2 linked regions of the Tamandua tetradactyla genome follow. The protein of the gene in region 2 purifies or fractionates together with the protein of the main gene of each other region. This does not show direct contact. Links are inferred from orthologs where the notes say so. Each region holds a gene or a part of one and is shown on either strand. Other genes may lie near its edges.

The links.
Region 1: the proteins of REXO4 (region 2) and RRS1 purify together in Homo sapiens (co-immunoprecipitation; 3 studies listed by BioGRID and IntAct, with this or other methods). This does not show direct contact. The link is inferred for Tamandua tetradactyla from reciprocal best matches to the Homo sapiens genes REXO4 and RRS1.

What each region holds. Positions count from the first base shown.
Region 1 is NC_135332.1:109,968,970-109,975,849, reverse strand, and holds RRS1 (ribosome biogenesis regulatory protein homolog), read right to left. Parts: upstream 2,390-6,880; 5' UTR 2,263-2,389; coding exon 1,165-2,262; 3' UTR 683-1,164; downstream 1-682. UniProt on the Homo sapiens protein: Involved in ribosomal large subunit assembly. May regulate the localization of the 5S RNP/5S ribonucleoprotein particle to the nucleolus.
Region 2 is NC_135328.1:133,124,267-133,132,117, reverse strand, and holds the start of REXO4 (RNA exonuclease 4), read right to left. Parts: upstream 3,048-7,851; 5' UTR 2,813-3,047; coding exon 2,588-2,812; intron 1,364-2,587; coding exon 1,020-1,363; intron 1-1,019.

The sequences.
Region 1 (6,880 bases), on a different chromosome or scaffold from region 2:
TTCTAAAAGTAGCCTTATAAAAAAGAGACAATATTGAAAAAGTGAAAAACAAAATCTATTTCCAATTTTAATCTCCTATCAAATTGTCAGACCAAAAAGAGCAGGGTCTTTCAACTCTCCAGCAGGACAGGCTCTCTAAATTCTACATCTATCACGAACCCTTTTCAGGAGATATTTTTAACAGACGAGATTAGGAAGAGACTGATGGGCAGGAAAGAGCCCTAGGACAGCCATAAACATTTAACTTTTGAACAAAATCAGCTCAGGCTTTGATCCAGAAGATATTAACGGTCCAAGTAAGGATTTTGTGGGTCTCTTCCTTTCCAAAACAGATCTTACTGAGAGTCAAGTTTGGGGGGGGGGGGGTGAGGGAACATAAATGCTGAAACAAATTTAAATATTTTCTGCATCAATGAGAATTACCATGATTATTTAGTGAGACCCAAGTTTATCATTTACATCAAATTAACCCGTGTTGAAAAGCATGAAATGTACATTTGAAATAGCGTTATATTACATCTTCAAATATCATCTGATACCAAAAGTGAGTTTTTCTAACTAAAGTGGTTTCTCTGAAACCATGATAATTTAGCTGCTTTATATCTTTTAGAAAGTAAATAAAACACTCTGTACCTGGTATCCATGTCACTGGACTTCACTTAAGATTTCTACCAATAATTGCAAAGTTATAAGCACTTTTATTAAATAATCTTTTCAATAGTTAGCTGTAAGTACAGTTGTGAAAATGTAATCTTTCCTGTTCTCCCCTGCTTTGGTAAACACACAAATTTGTTACAAAAATAATGCAAAAATGTATAAATTAATTCATTGTGAGTCTCTGAAATATGACCAACTCTCCCTCACCCATATTCAAAGTCAAAAAGAAAAAAGGTGGCTATTTAAAAACAGAAACTCGTTCCTGGTTTCCATCAAGTTCTTCCCCTAATTTTTCATCTCCAGCTAAAAAGTCTCGGTTGTGGGAAAAACAATTTGTAGAGTCCAACACTTACTTTCTTGAGGTGAGGTCAGTCCTGTCCCTTCAACCCCAAGCTCGGTGAAGATAGTGGCCACCTTCTTCTATACCCCCTGCTCTATCTAGAATTTAACATTTAGTAATTTAGTATGTGTTTTCCGGTTTACAGAGCAAGTCCGAGGGTGCCTCTATTATTTCCTCCTCTTTCCTCCTTGGTGCTGCCCCCCTTTTCTCTTACCACCCAAGCCAGGCGGCCCGGAATGCATCTTGCCCCCCAAGCCCCCTTTCCTCTTCCCTCCCTGGCTGGGCGGGCCCCCTTTCCTCTTGCCCCCAGGACCCTGTCGGCCCCCCTTTCTCTTGCCCTTTTGGTTCATTTTTCTCCTTTTGGCGGCTTCCTCCTGGTCCTCCTCCCTCATTTGCTTATTGGTGGCCCTTGTTACGTCCAGCTGAGGCTTCTTGCTGTTCATGACTCGCAATAGCTCTAACTGGTTTTTCTTCTCGGCTGCAAAGTCCCCAAAGAGGGGTTGAAACTTTCTCTTCTTACCGGAGCCCCGGGGCGCCTTCTCCTTGGGTAGGCGCTCCTGGAAGCGCCCCACAGAGGCGGTTGAGACCTTGGCCACCTGCATGGCGCGACCCAGCTCCTCCTTGCTCTGATGTCCAGTAGGGTGCAAGCCGGCCGCGCTGGGCAGTTGCGTCTTGTGCGCGCGGGCCAGGTTACGCAGCCGATTCAGCTCGTTCTTGGCCACCCGTTCCTTTTTGGCCTGAATCCGCTTGGCGAACTGATCCTCCAAAGGGTCGGCACCGCCGGGCACCTCGATCAGCCACTCCTTGGTGTCGTCGCGGGCGCGCTGGTAACCCCAGCGACGCCGCCACTGGCCGCTCACCTCGTCCCACACCAGATTTGTCTTCTTCTTGGGGCGGATGCCCTTGAGGCGCGCGAACTGCTGCCAGCGTGTAAGCGGCCGCGGCCGGGGCACCGGCTTCTCGCGCGGCAGGCGGGTGGTAGGATCGGGCAGCCGTGCCACCACAGCTTCCTCCACGCGCTCCGTGGGCAGCTGCCACAGCTGGTTGATGAGCAGCTGAGTGTTGTCTCGCGCTAGGGCCCGTAGTTCGGCCTCCAGCGTGGGTCCCACGCGCCGCAGACACGTAGGAGGGTTCCGGTCGGAGGCCAGCAGGTTACCCAGATCGAACTCCAGCTCCAGTTCCTTGTGCACCGTGATGCGCTGCAGTTTCTCTGCCTCATCCCGTTCCGCCTTTGCCAGCAGCTCCTCCACGCTTTGACCGTCCATAGCTCGGGCTCGTTTAACGTGCTCAGAACTACAGTTCAAGTTACTTTTCCGGCAGTGTCAGTTCTAAGCCGGGTAACGAAGCCACGTGCTGACGCTCAGACCCTCGATCCGGAAGAGAATGATTCACTTCCGGAGCCTCCGGAACCGACTCTCTGTCTACATTACCTTTTCTCCATAGGCCGGCAGGGGGCGGTGTTGGAAAGCCTGTGGGTTTAGAAGCCCCCCCCCTACCTCGGGCGTGCACCCGGATGTAGGCGGAGCTAGCGCGAAGAGCCCAGACTACAAGTTCCAGGGCCTGATTGAGGTCGAGGTTCCCAGAATGCAGCGGGGCCAGGAGGCGGGGCAGTTCCAGGGACGAATTATTGGGGTCGCAGCTTTAGGGGGTTTCCGGAGCCCCTGTGTTTCAAATTCACTGTACATGCCTTGTGAAGTTGTTTAGTGAAGCATCCCTAGTTGGGCTACAGAAATGATTTCACCACGGCCCTAATGGTGGGACCTAATGTGTGGGCGGGGAAAGGCATGTCCCAGACAAACGTGAAGTTGAGTGCTGGAGAAGGATCTGTTTGGTTTGGGAGCGAGCGAGTGTTGGTGCTTCAGAGGCCTGAAATCATGATCTCTCTTGGTCCGGGGCAAGACGAGCGTCGGGCACTGCAATTAGATTACTTGTGCGCTTATCCCGACTGAGCCATCTAAGGACATTTTAATCTTAGGCAATTTAACTTTCCTGGGCCTGTTTAAAAATATACAAAATGTAGAAAATAATAGTACCTATGGCTTGGGGCTTTTGTAAAGATGAGGGCGTTAATATACCCCAAGGGGGAGTTAGAATAGGGCCTGGGACGAAAGAGTGCTCAGTAACTGTTAGTTAAATTAATACCAGTTACTCTATTATGTTCATAACAGCTCTTTCACTTTCATAACAGCTAAATTGAAGACACCAGGTTCTTGAGTCAGACTGCTTAAGTCAGATGTGGGTTTACCATTTACTGTACCTACCTTGCACAGGTTATTTAGAGGAGTCAAATAGGTTGATAAATAGGAAACAGTTCTGGTACTTAGTAAGCACTCATGTTAGCTCTTGTTGGTATTAATCATATGCCAGTGATGAAACTCAGGTGAAATGACTTGTGCGAGGTCATGTACCTACGAAATGTGGGGGCAAGAGGTGTCTTAACCCAGCGTTAAGACTGCGGTGTCTACCAGGCTCTTGATACTCTGGTCTGCTCATCAGCAGCATAGCTTCACCTGGGAGCTTTGAGAGGCAGACTCGCAGGCCTGCCCCAGATGTACAGAATCAGAACCTTCGGTTTAACAAGCTCTCCAGGTGATCAGTATGTACATTCACGTTTAGGAGGCATTGCTGATTGTGGGGTTTACAGGTTTTGTTTTCCTTGATCAGGGGATTGGAAATAATGAAGTAGGGGTTATGCTGGAAGATTAGGCAGTAGAAATTAATATAAAAAGTTTAAGAGATAGACCTATAGCCTGGGGCCATATCCTCTCCTGTCTTGGAACAAAAGAGCTCCAGGCTCTGCAGTTTGCCTGCACCCTAATTCTGATTGTGTACTCAAGTTAGTCTCAGGCTCACTATCTTCAGCTGTTCTTGGTTCACTGATTTACCAAACATTTATGGAGCACATTTCATGCACCAGACATTGTATTAGACCCTCCTTTCTTCCTCTAATCTAAAATAATTGTAGTAGTTGCTGGGGTTTTTCTGAACCTGTGCCTTAGTGCTCATCACTAAGTCTTTACTACCAGTCACCTTAGGAGGCCAAGGTTAGGCCAAAGGCCATATTAGATAACTGCCTTGAATCTAAAAGCTTTTGTGGTTTGCCAGAGAAGAAGGTTGGAATGTTGATACAACTCCTGGTGCTGGCTTGGTTTATGATTCATTCATTTAGTTAGCAAACATCTAACTGAACAGCTACCATGTAACAGACACTAGATACAAGGTGGGTTGAGACCTTCTGGAACACCAGGAAAGAACACAGGTAATGAGAATTTTACAAAATAGTGTGATTGAGCTTCCAATAGATTGTGCACCTATGTAGGTTTTAGCTCCTCCATCAATCTCCTGGATTAAGAAGGAGGTGGACAGGTATTGAATAGTGTGAATCCTCACTGGATAAATGTTATTTGGTTAGGATTATACAGATGAACACTTAATTGTTCTTTAATTGTTTTATGTTTATTGGTTTTTCACAGTCCGAGAGTATTTTAATTTCCTTGTTGGTTGGAGACTGATATTTACTTTCACTTTGCTGAACTTAGTACTGGATACATAATAGGTACTCAATACATGATTGCTTGAAAGAAAAAAACGTTACAGATTTCTCTAAATTAAAAAGGTATTCCTGTTGGCTGTGTTAGATTCAGGGTAAGCAAAAGTAGTGAAGAATGGGGTTTGAATGAAAAATAAAATAAAATTGAGCCAAGTGGGTAAGTGATGGACCCCAGGCATTTGTATCATTCTCATGTTAGGCAAGACTGTGCAGTGTCAAGAAAAAAGAAAGCCTGCCAGGTATGTGCAGGCATGTGGATATGTTTAAACAGTCTGGCAAATGGCTGTACATGCTGTCTTTTCTCTTTGTTTTCTTTTTCTTCTTTTGGCCCACAGATCCCAAATCTGGTCCTCAGATCTCACTTCTTTTCTCTTAATACCTGCTCTGTGTGCCATTTCATCCACTTGCATGATGTCAGCTGCTGCTTTTGTGCAGATGGTTCTCAGTAGTACAGATTTGATCCTTTCCGTCCACTCGGCTCTTCCACCATACTGTGTCTAAAACTAAATAATATATCATCTTCCCTCAAATTTATTTCTTCTTTCATTCCATTCATCCATCCATCCACCCACCCACTCTTTTTTCAACAAATGTTTGTTGAAGTTCCTTGAAGCCTGGAGCACTGTGTCAGGCGATGAGAAATCCGGTGTTAATAAAAACAGGCTCAACTGATGTTATCATCATTCCAGTCTAGTAACTGGGACTTGAAACTATAAAGTCATTCTTGACTTTTCTTTTTCCATTTCCAAATCCAATCATTCTAAAAGTCCAGCTGAATTTGTCTCTGTATTCCATCCCCCCCATCAGGATTGGACTGGATCTCTTCCTTTGTTTCTCCAGATCCTGTCTCTACTCTGTTCTGTACCCCTGACTTCCACTGGGTTTGGCCAGTGGGAAGCTTTGCAAAGCATCAGAGGATGTGAAGAGAGTGAGGTCAGGGTACAAATGCCCCCAGCCCTCTGCAGATTGCCTTGGGGTGGCTGGTGCCTCTAAAAGGTCACAGCTTTCTTTGGGCAGCCTTCTTGCCAGCCTAGGATTGCTTATATCTCTCTGCCCTTTAAGGATTACTCTTTGTGGGTCTCCTTAAACCTTGCGCCTGTCTTTATAAATATTTCCTTTGCTAGTATGTCTTAAATTACCCAGTTTGGTGGCAATTTATGACCCTGCCAGGAACCTGAGGAGTATCCCAGGAACACCCTAACAGGTTTCTTGTCTCCATTCTCTCTTCAGGTCAGTCCTTAAGATTTGTTCCACAGATCTGACCAAACCACCTTTCTCCTCCCTTGTCTAGCTAACACACAATGCTTGTTCTTGGACTTGGCAAGGCTGTTCATGATCAGACCCAACAACTCTTTGCTTGTGTGTCCTGATATTTTTCCTTATGCTTGTCCAAATATTTCTTCCCCAATTTTCTTTCCCATCTTACCTGTCTTTCCAGAGCATTAAGAAAGGTAAAAATGAGACACAGAATAAAAAAAGCAGCATTGTATTCTTGTAGCAACTATTGAGAAATTTTTCATTGACAAAAGTGAACCTGTGGGATGCTTCTTCCTCCCCAGGGACAAGAAGGTTCAAGATCGAGGGCAAGTAATTCCTTTCATGCTCCCTCAAAACACAGTTACTTTGGTCAGTAAAATTTTTGTATGAAATTTCTTTCTTCATTTTTTTGATACTGCATTATCTTAGATTTGCTTTCCAGTCGTTTCTCAGTTGCCTCTTTTTGGCAGCGGAAATTGTCAGGGGATTGACTCAACCATTCTTTAATTCTGCTGAGAACATAGTTATTTTGAGTATTTTTGTCTATGAAATTCATTGTGCCAGTAATTTGATAAAATAGCAAAAAAATGGCCCTTAAAGTACGTGCATTATTTCTACATGGTTCATTTTTACTAATTTATAATTTTGATTTGAAAGTACTTGAAGGGAAAATTTAATTTTGAAAACTTCTCAATCATAGACATTGTAAGAGTTATGTATTCATGTACTTCAGTTTTCATCAGAAACCTGTACTAAAAGTCCGTGATTTTATTTTAAAAAGGGACAAAGACGATATAGCATTAAGAGTTGTGCAGTTAGTGTAGAAGCAGGCAAAATAATGTCTAAACATTGTATGTTTGCCTGCAAAGAACTTTGGATTTCAGAATCGTAAGATTGATGGTAGTCTTTTAGAACTGATTTAAGTTGTTTCACTCTCTGTAAAATTTTCAGCAGTAATTGTTTTCAAAAATTGTTTAAATTTTTTTTGAAATGTAACTTAAACATTTCAAAACTGTTAAATTTGCCAATATTATCGTTATCTGTAAGGCAGGCAAGCATGAAATATCATCACCAAG
Region 2 (7,851 bases):
CGTTTCTGGTATATTGCATTCCAGCAGCTAGCAAACTAAAACAACCATCAAATGGAAAGCGCAGAACTCCTAAGGTTGACAGGTGGTGTTTCCATGTCAGGCCTCCATGCTTGGATGCCCACACAACAACAGAAGCATGTCACTGGTGAATTCATCCTTTGGGCTTGGCTGAAAGGCCATTCCCTGAGAAAAACTCTTCCCAAGCCCCACCCACTGAGATGTGCTGCCCCTGCCAGCACCCCCCGTAAGCATCTCTGCACCAAGTGCACAGTGAACACAGACACATGGCTCCCAAGATGATTTCAGCTTATCACCAGAAGCTCAGGCCAGGGCCAGGCTTGTCCTGCCAATGGCTCCAGTCCCAGATGTGGTCCTAGCACAACGGCATCTGCTGGACACTCAGATGATTCATTCCTTTGACCTTCACACCGTATCCTGAACACCCAGGTAATGTGGAGCCTGCCTCTGACCTGCCAAGGTGCCACCTTCAGGTGAGACACCGCCGGCTCCTGGTCCTCCTTGCGTGAGGGACAATCATATGGGCCAGTACCCCATGCCCACCCTCTACCCCTTCCCACTGCCCGCAGATGGCTGCACGAGGCTTGGGGGGCTTCCCTCACTTGTTCCAAACCAGCCAACCCACAAGGAATAAGACCTGGTGTCCATCTCGTGTCTCTCCGGCTCTGGCATTCATTCACCCCACAGATCTACTGTGCCTACTAAGTGCTGTGCTTGTGCCGGAACCTGAAGACACAGGGCTGAGCACGAGACAGCCCTGCTTCCGTGATGTCCGCATGCTAGGGGAGAACAAGTAACAGCAGATTACAACCAAAGTGAAAGCAAATACCGTCAGGTAAGGCGATGGCAAGTCTGCAGGGGTACCGGCCTCAGGGTGTGATGTCGCTGTAACTGTTCTCAGGGGTGAGGGGTGACAGGGGCCAGGCTGTGGCCCTGAGAGCTGATTCTGGCTGCAGAGGAGGCCACGGGTACCACTGGGGAAAGAAACTCCAAATACTTACTCTGTTGGCGGGGTTGCAGCTGCCTCCTTGGCTTTCCGCTTATGTTTGATAAGCACTCGCTTCACAGAAATGGCTCCATTTGCCTTTTTCCTGGTTGCCTCCTCCTTGTGCTCTACTCTGATGGCCTCTGCAGGAAGTGCTGGCCTCTTCGTGTCTGTCAGAACTCCAGAAGGTGTGGAGTTCCTGGGGGCCCTGCGGTCTGGTTTTGCTGTGGGCCCTGGCTGTGTTTCATCTTCACCTGAGACTTCCTTTCTGTTTTGCCAGTTAATTTTGGGCTGCTTTTTGGAGCCCATCTGAGGGGTAACAGGAAGCTTTTCTGGGGTTTGTGGTTTTTGTTTCAGCAACTAAGGGATCAAAAATAAAATGAATGCCATTTTTTAATTTGGAAAGTAAGTAAGCATAGAAGATTAAAAAAATTTATGTGTATGTGTCTCTAATAGATACAACCACACATCAATCACATCTATGTAAACTTCCTACCACCATCCCTGAAATATATTTTCAGGTGGGTTGGGAAAGCCCCTTCTCATTCTTGCCCATAACACAGCATTCTTGTGAATGCTGTTCCCCTGCTTATTCCACTGCCTTGCATAAGCTGACATTCGCTCCCTTGTTTAGGCCAATACACCACCCTGAAGTACCTGTCGATCACTGGACACTGCAGACCAATTTGCTCTGAGCCTGCAGAAACATTAGGCAACCTGATACCATTTTCTAAAAAATGTATTTAACTTATCGCATAAGTTATTTCTAAGTCAGAAATGACTGGGTGTCAATATGTTGGCATACAGCAACCAGCTTCTTTACAAACTTTTTGGTTTGCTGTTGTGAGGGTCCCAGGAAGAGGAACAGCTCTTGTCAAACTGGAGATGGCTGAAGAATCCCAGCAGTCTTGGTTCTGCCTCATCCCAAGAGGGGATCCAAGGTCTCTGAGCCCATCTACCTCTCCATGCTCACGTCCCCACATGGCAGTTCTCAACCAGTGAAGACCCTGCTGTGGAGCAACCAGCTGAGAGAGGGTAAGCTGAGTTCCACTTACCTGTGTCCATAATATCTAGAGAACTAAAGGACTTACATACTCTCACAAGGAATTCAAGATTTCCCCTAAGCACACATCCCTCTCATGCACTGAATTCTGATGTACCTTCTTGGGAGAAAGAGGTAGTATTACAGCTAGTGTTCAAGACATTACGCAGAACCCCGGGATTCCCCAGGGGAATTCAACTCTGTTTGAACATGATCTAGTCCTCTGTGTCGGGGTAGGAAAACCCCTACAAACCACTGCCCTTAGGACAGCGTGCCGGGTGTTAAGAGGCTCAGGAGGTTCTCTACTTTCTCTCTCTCACTCAGAGGCCCCACAGTGGACTCCAGAAAACTGCAGAGGAGACTCTGAAAGTCAACAATGCGCAGCAGCAAAAAGCATCAACCCATTTCAGAACGTGTGACTTTGGGCCCACACCAGTCTTTCCCTTTCTAGTGTGTGCTGCGTGACTGAACAGCGAGCCCCGGGGGAAATGAGCTTCCCTTGTCCTCGCCACTGGCTCTGGCAGGGCCCTCTCAAGTCCTACCTCTTGCAGCGCTTTCCAATTTTGAGAAAAGTCTTCTGGTGCCTTTGGAGGTCGCACCGCGACCACTCTGGACTCGTTTTCCGGCTTCTTGCTGACTTCTTGTGCTTTTTTTTTCCAGAATTTTTTCCTCTTGTTTTTCTTTCGATTTCGCTTCTTGACACTCTCTGGTTTCGCCTCGGGGCTGCTCGGGGCGCGATTGGAAGTCGGGGCCTTCGCCTTCGCCATCCCGGCACTACCCAAGGTCCCGGGGGCCCGACACTGAACGGCGGCGTCCGGCCGCCCCCCGCGCGCCCCCGGAAAGCGTATTCCCTCTCTTTAGTCTCCCGGCCGCGACGTGTCCTCAGCCAAAACAGAGACGGCCCCGGAGCCGGCCTATCCCCGCCGAAAGCACGTTTCTGCAGACCAACCCGGCTGTCACTGGGCAGGAACCCGAGCTCCGGGTCCCGGACAGGCCGCCGTAAGCGCTCCGCGCATGCGCGCGCCAGGCTCCGGAAGTGCTTCCCCCTTTCCCGCCGGCTGGAAACTGGGCTGCCGCCTCCGGTTCCGCGTTGGCCCGCACGGGAATAGGGCGTTCCCCAGAGAGCACCGCAGGGTGGGCGGTCGAGGGTCGGGTTTGGGGGCTCCCGGGATCCTGCATCGAGCCGGGAGTGGGGAGAGAAGCGCGGCTGGGAGCCTGGTCGGTGTAGCCCGCCGGCCGAGCGTGGAAGGGGGGCCTGGCGGCGCGTGTCCCCGGACCCTCGGCTTCGGGGCGAGAGGGGCGTGCTGCGGCCCCGACGGGCGGGAGTCCGCTTTGGCCCCCGCGAGCGCGTTTGCCTTCGCGACCCAGGGCTGCGGAGGACGGCCGGCAGCACCCCAGAGAGCGGCGAAGGGGGTGGTGAAGCGCGGGCTGCGGGCTGGGCCCCGGCCTGGCCCCGAGGGCCCCGACGTCGACGTCCGAGTGGGCGAAGGGGCTGCAGACGCCGACGAGAAATGGGCGGACGAGTGGACGAGCTCCCTTTGGATGGAGGTGACGCCAGTGAAGGCGGCGAACATGCCGTTTCGTGGTGGACCTAGACCCGGGGCAAGGCTGCCGGTGTGGGGCGCCCAGCTGTCTATGAGCCTCAGAAAAACCACAGTTTTGGCCGTGGGACGATGTCCCATGCCATAGATATCTGCGATTTTTGGAGCATAATTGTGCTAAAAATTTTACTTGTTTATCTGAAATTCACGTTTAATTGGGTGTCCTGTGTTTTTCCGGTGGAGGGGCACTTGGACGGAGGCAGGAGGGAAGGCCTCCTTGAGGACACATTGAGCTGAAACCCGAACGCGGAGATCCGAGGATGGAGCAGACAGCTAAGTACTGGCATAGGTGGGAATGAGTCGGTCGTGTGGGAGGGATGGAGAGAAAGCTGGTGTGGTTAAGCTCTGCTGGCAGAAGGGAGGGAGTGGAGGAGTGCAGGTACAGCCAGAGGGGTGTGCAGGGGCCAGGCCACCGTTGTGGAGCCTCGTGGGCTGCAGAAAAGAGTTTGGATGTTTTTGTTTAATGGTGAAGGAAGCCGTCAATGATTTTAAGCGTGAGAGGGTCATGATACAAGTGTTTAAAAGGTCATTTCGGCTTCTGTAGGAGGAATGGGATGCGGGAGGGAAGTGAGGAAGAAAGTAGGGAGACCATTTAGGAGATGATTACAGGTGGCCGTGCCAGAGATGGTGTGGCTTGGATTAGGTCTCCAGGAAGCAATTGCAGGGATGGAACAAGGACTGCAAAGCATTTATTACGGGCTGTGAAAGGTAAATGGGAAGATGCCAGAGGGCAGGGGAAGCCTTTCAGATAATGATGCAGATCTGCTGCCTGAGAAAGGGAAATGGGAAAGAAGCTGGAATAAGCAAGGGGGGTTCTCAGACTGCAGTGCAGATCTGACTGAGTACCGGCCAACCCAATGGAGAGCTCTGGAGCCAAGACTGCCTAATACAGGAATCTCCCCATGGGCAGAAGTGGGTTAGGGTTAAGGTTAGAGTTGTCGGAACCTAGCAGCCCCTTTGTGTTCAGTCCTTGGCCAGTGGCTTTTTAATTTTATTTATTTATTTATTATTTTTTTAATACAAAAAAAGACACCAATTAAACACAAACATTCCTATTTTGATCATTCCATTCTACATATATAATCAGTAATTCACAATATCATCACATAGTTGCATATTCATCATCATGATCATTTCTTAGAACATTTGCATCAATTCAGAAAAAGAAATAAAGACAACAGAAAAAAATAAAATGAAAACAAAAATATATATATGTACATATCATACCCCTTACCCCTCCCTTTCATTGATCACTAGCATTTCAAACTAAATTTATTTTCACATTTGTTTCCCCTATTATTTATTTTTATTCCATATGTTCTACTCGTCTGTTGACAAGGTGGATAAAAGGAGCATCAGACACAAGGTTTTCACAATCACACAGTCACATTGTGAAAGCTATATCATCCTCAAGAAACATGGCTACTGGGACACAGCTCTACACTTTCAGGCAGTTCCCTCCAGCCTCTCTGTTACATCTTGAATAACAAGGTGATATGTACTTAATGTGTAAGAATACCTCCAGGATAACTTCTCTACTCTGTTTGGAATCTCTCAGCCATTGACGCTCTGTCTCATTTCACTCTTCCCCCTTTTGGTCGAGAAGGTTTTTCTCAATCCCTTGATCCTGAGTCTTAACTCATTCTAGGATTTCTGTCCCATGTTGCCAGGAAGGTCCACACTCCTGGGAGTCATGTCCCATGTAGACAGGGGGAGGGTGGTGAGTTTGCTTGTTGTGTTGGCTGAGAGAGAGAGTTGGCCAGTGACTTTAAGGAAGAGAGTGCTCTTAGCCTAAATTGTGGAGCGGATGGAGTGGGTGCTGCTGCTGGAGGCCATTGGCTGTCTGCAACTTTTCTCACTTGAAAGCCAAGTTCTTTCTTGAAGGAAGATCTGAGCAGGATAATTCCACAGCTAACACTCATGAGCTGTGAAAAGAGAGCATAGACAGATTTGACCTGTGTGGTGGAGGCAGAGTTGGCAGGGAGTGAGAGGGGGATGGGACAACGTGGCTCCTACATTTTGGTCTGAGCAACTGGGTGTGGCCATTTATCAGCTCAATAAATGATCGAAGAAGGAGCAGGTGGTGCAGTGTGGGTGTGGAGCCATGAGTTCCTTTCTGACAAGTTAAGTTTGAACATTTATCAGTGCACAGATATGTCAAATCAGCAGTTGAACCTATGTTTTTTGACCTGTGTGTGGAGGTCAGTGCTGGAGATATAATCCAAGTCATCCATATAGAGTGGGGATGAAAACCACTAACCTGGGTTGGTTCACCTAGGGAGAGAGTACGTATACCAAAGAGAGAAGGGCAGGGGCCGAGGAGGAGAAGGAATAGCCAGTGCAGCAGGAAAAGAGCCGGGAATATGTGCCATCATGGAGCCCGAGGAGGGAAAGCAAACCACCTCCAGAACTGCCAAAATGTTGACACCACAGGTGGTGGCTGCATATGGCCACAAGATTATTACAGACTGTAATGGATTAAATTGTGTCCCCCAAAAGAACATGTTTAAGTCCTAACCTCTGGTGCCTGTGAGTGTGACCTTGTTTGGAAATAAGGTCTTTGCACATGTCATCAGGTTAAGATGATCATGTGGGATTCAGGTGAATCCTAATGTAATCCTCTAATGACTGGCATCTTGATAAGAGGAAAGAGAGGGGTATTCAGACAGACCCAAAGGATGCCCAGCGGGAAGAAGGCTGTGTGACGACAGAGGCAGAGGTTGGAGTGCTGCAGCTGTAAACTTAGGGATGCTAAGAATGGCTGGCCACCACCGAAGCTGAAAGAGGCCAAGGAGGAGACTCCCCTGCAGGTCTCAGAGGGAGCCCAGCCTGCTGATGCCTCGATTTCGGGCTTTGGTCTTGTATTAGTTTGCTAAAGCTGTCAGAATTCAATATACCGGAAACAGTGGCTTTGAAAGGTGAATTTATTATGTTGCAAGTTTGCAGTTCTAAGGCTGTGCAAATGTCCAAATGAAAGCACCAAGAAGAGGTTACCTTCAGTCAAGAAAGGTTGATGCCATCCAGAACACCTGTCAGCTGGGAAAGCACACATTGAAGTCCACTAGCTTTTTCTCCCGGTTCCTTGTTTCATGAGGCTTCCCCAGGAGCATTCTCCTTCTTCATCTCCAAAGGTCTCTGGCTGTGAAGATCCTAAAGCTTTTTCCAAAATGGTTCCCTCTTAACAGTCTCCAGTAAGTAACCCCACCTTGAATTGGTAGAGACACATCTTCAGTGAACTACCTAATCAAAAAACCCACCCACAGTTGGGTGGATCACATCTTCATGGAAACAACTTAATAAAAAGATGCCACCCAACAGCATTGAATGAGGATTAAAGAACATGGCTTTTCTGGGGTACACAACAGTTTCAAACCAGCACTGATCTCCAGAACTGTCAGAGAATAAACTGTTGTTTTCAGCCCCCCAGTCTGTGGTAATTTGTTACGGCAGCCCAGGGAAACTAAGACAATGACCTTAGTGAAAACAGTTCCCAGGGAGTGTGGGGATGGGTGGTGAGGAAGTGGAGGCAGTCACTTAAGACACCTTTTCCCAGTTTGTTGTTAAAGACGGTGAGGAATGGGGCTAAAGCAGGGGCATGGGATGGGTCAGGGGAAGGCTGTGGGTTTTGATCAAGAGACCCCAGAATGTTAGGTTGTATACATGATGCTAGAATGGAAGTTAACAGCAACAAAAAAAACTTGTGGAATTGCACAAGACAGACAGTGAACCCTGTGCAAAACCTTGGACCGTAGTTAATTATAAAAATGTGCTTTCATCAATTGTGATAAATGTATCAGCTAATGCAAGGTGTAAATAATAGGGTGGTGTATGGGAATCCTGTATTTTCTGCATGATTGTTCTGTAAACTCACAACTTCTCTAATAAAAAAAAAAAGCCATTAGAAGCGAAAACAATCTGTACAGTCTCTAAATTCCAAGGGGAGAAAAAGAATGCAAGCCAACCAATAAAAAATACAAAGGTACCATTATATATTAAAGTTAAGGGTCACTTCTCTGTCATGGTAAAGGTTTCATGATATTCTGTTACATTCATCTTCATTACACTTAGATAAGTCATCTGAGTATGGTTTGCAGATTGCTTAATGTATGCCCTTTTATTTTGGAATAGTGCTGACACCCTACTGAGAAAATTCTGTTCCTCAACACGCGCACAAGGAGATCCTAGAGTTTGTTTTGCTGACGGAT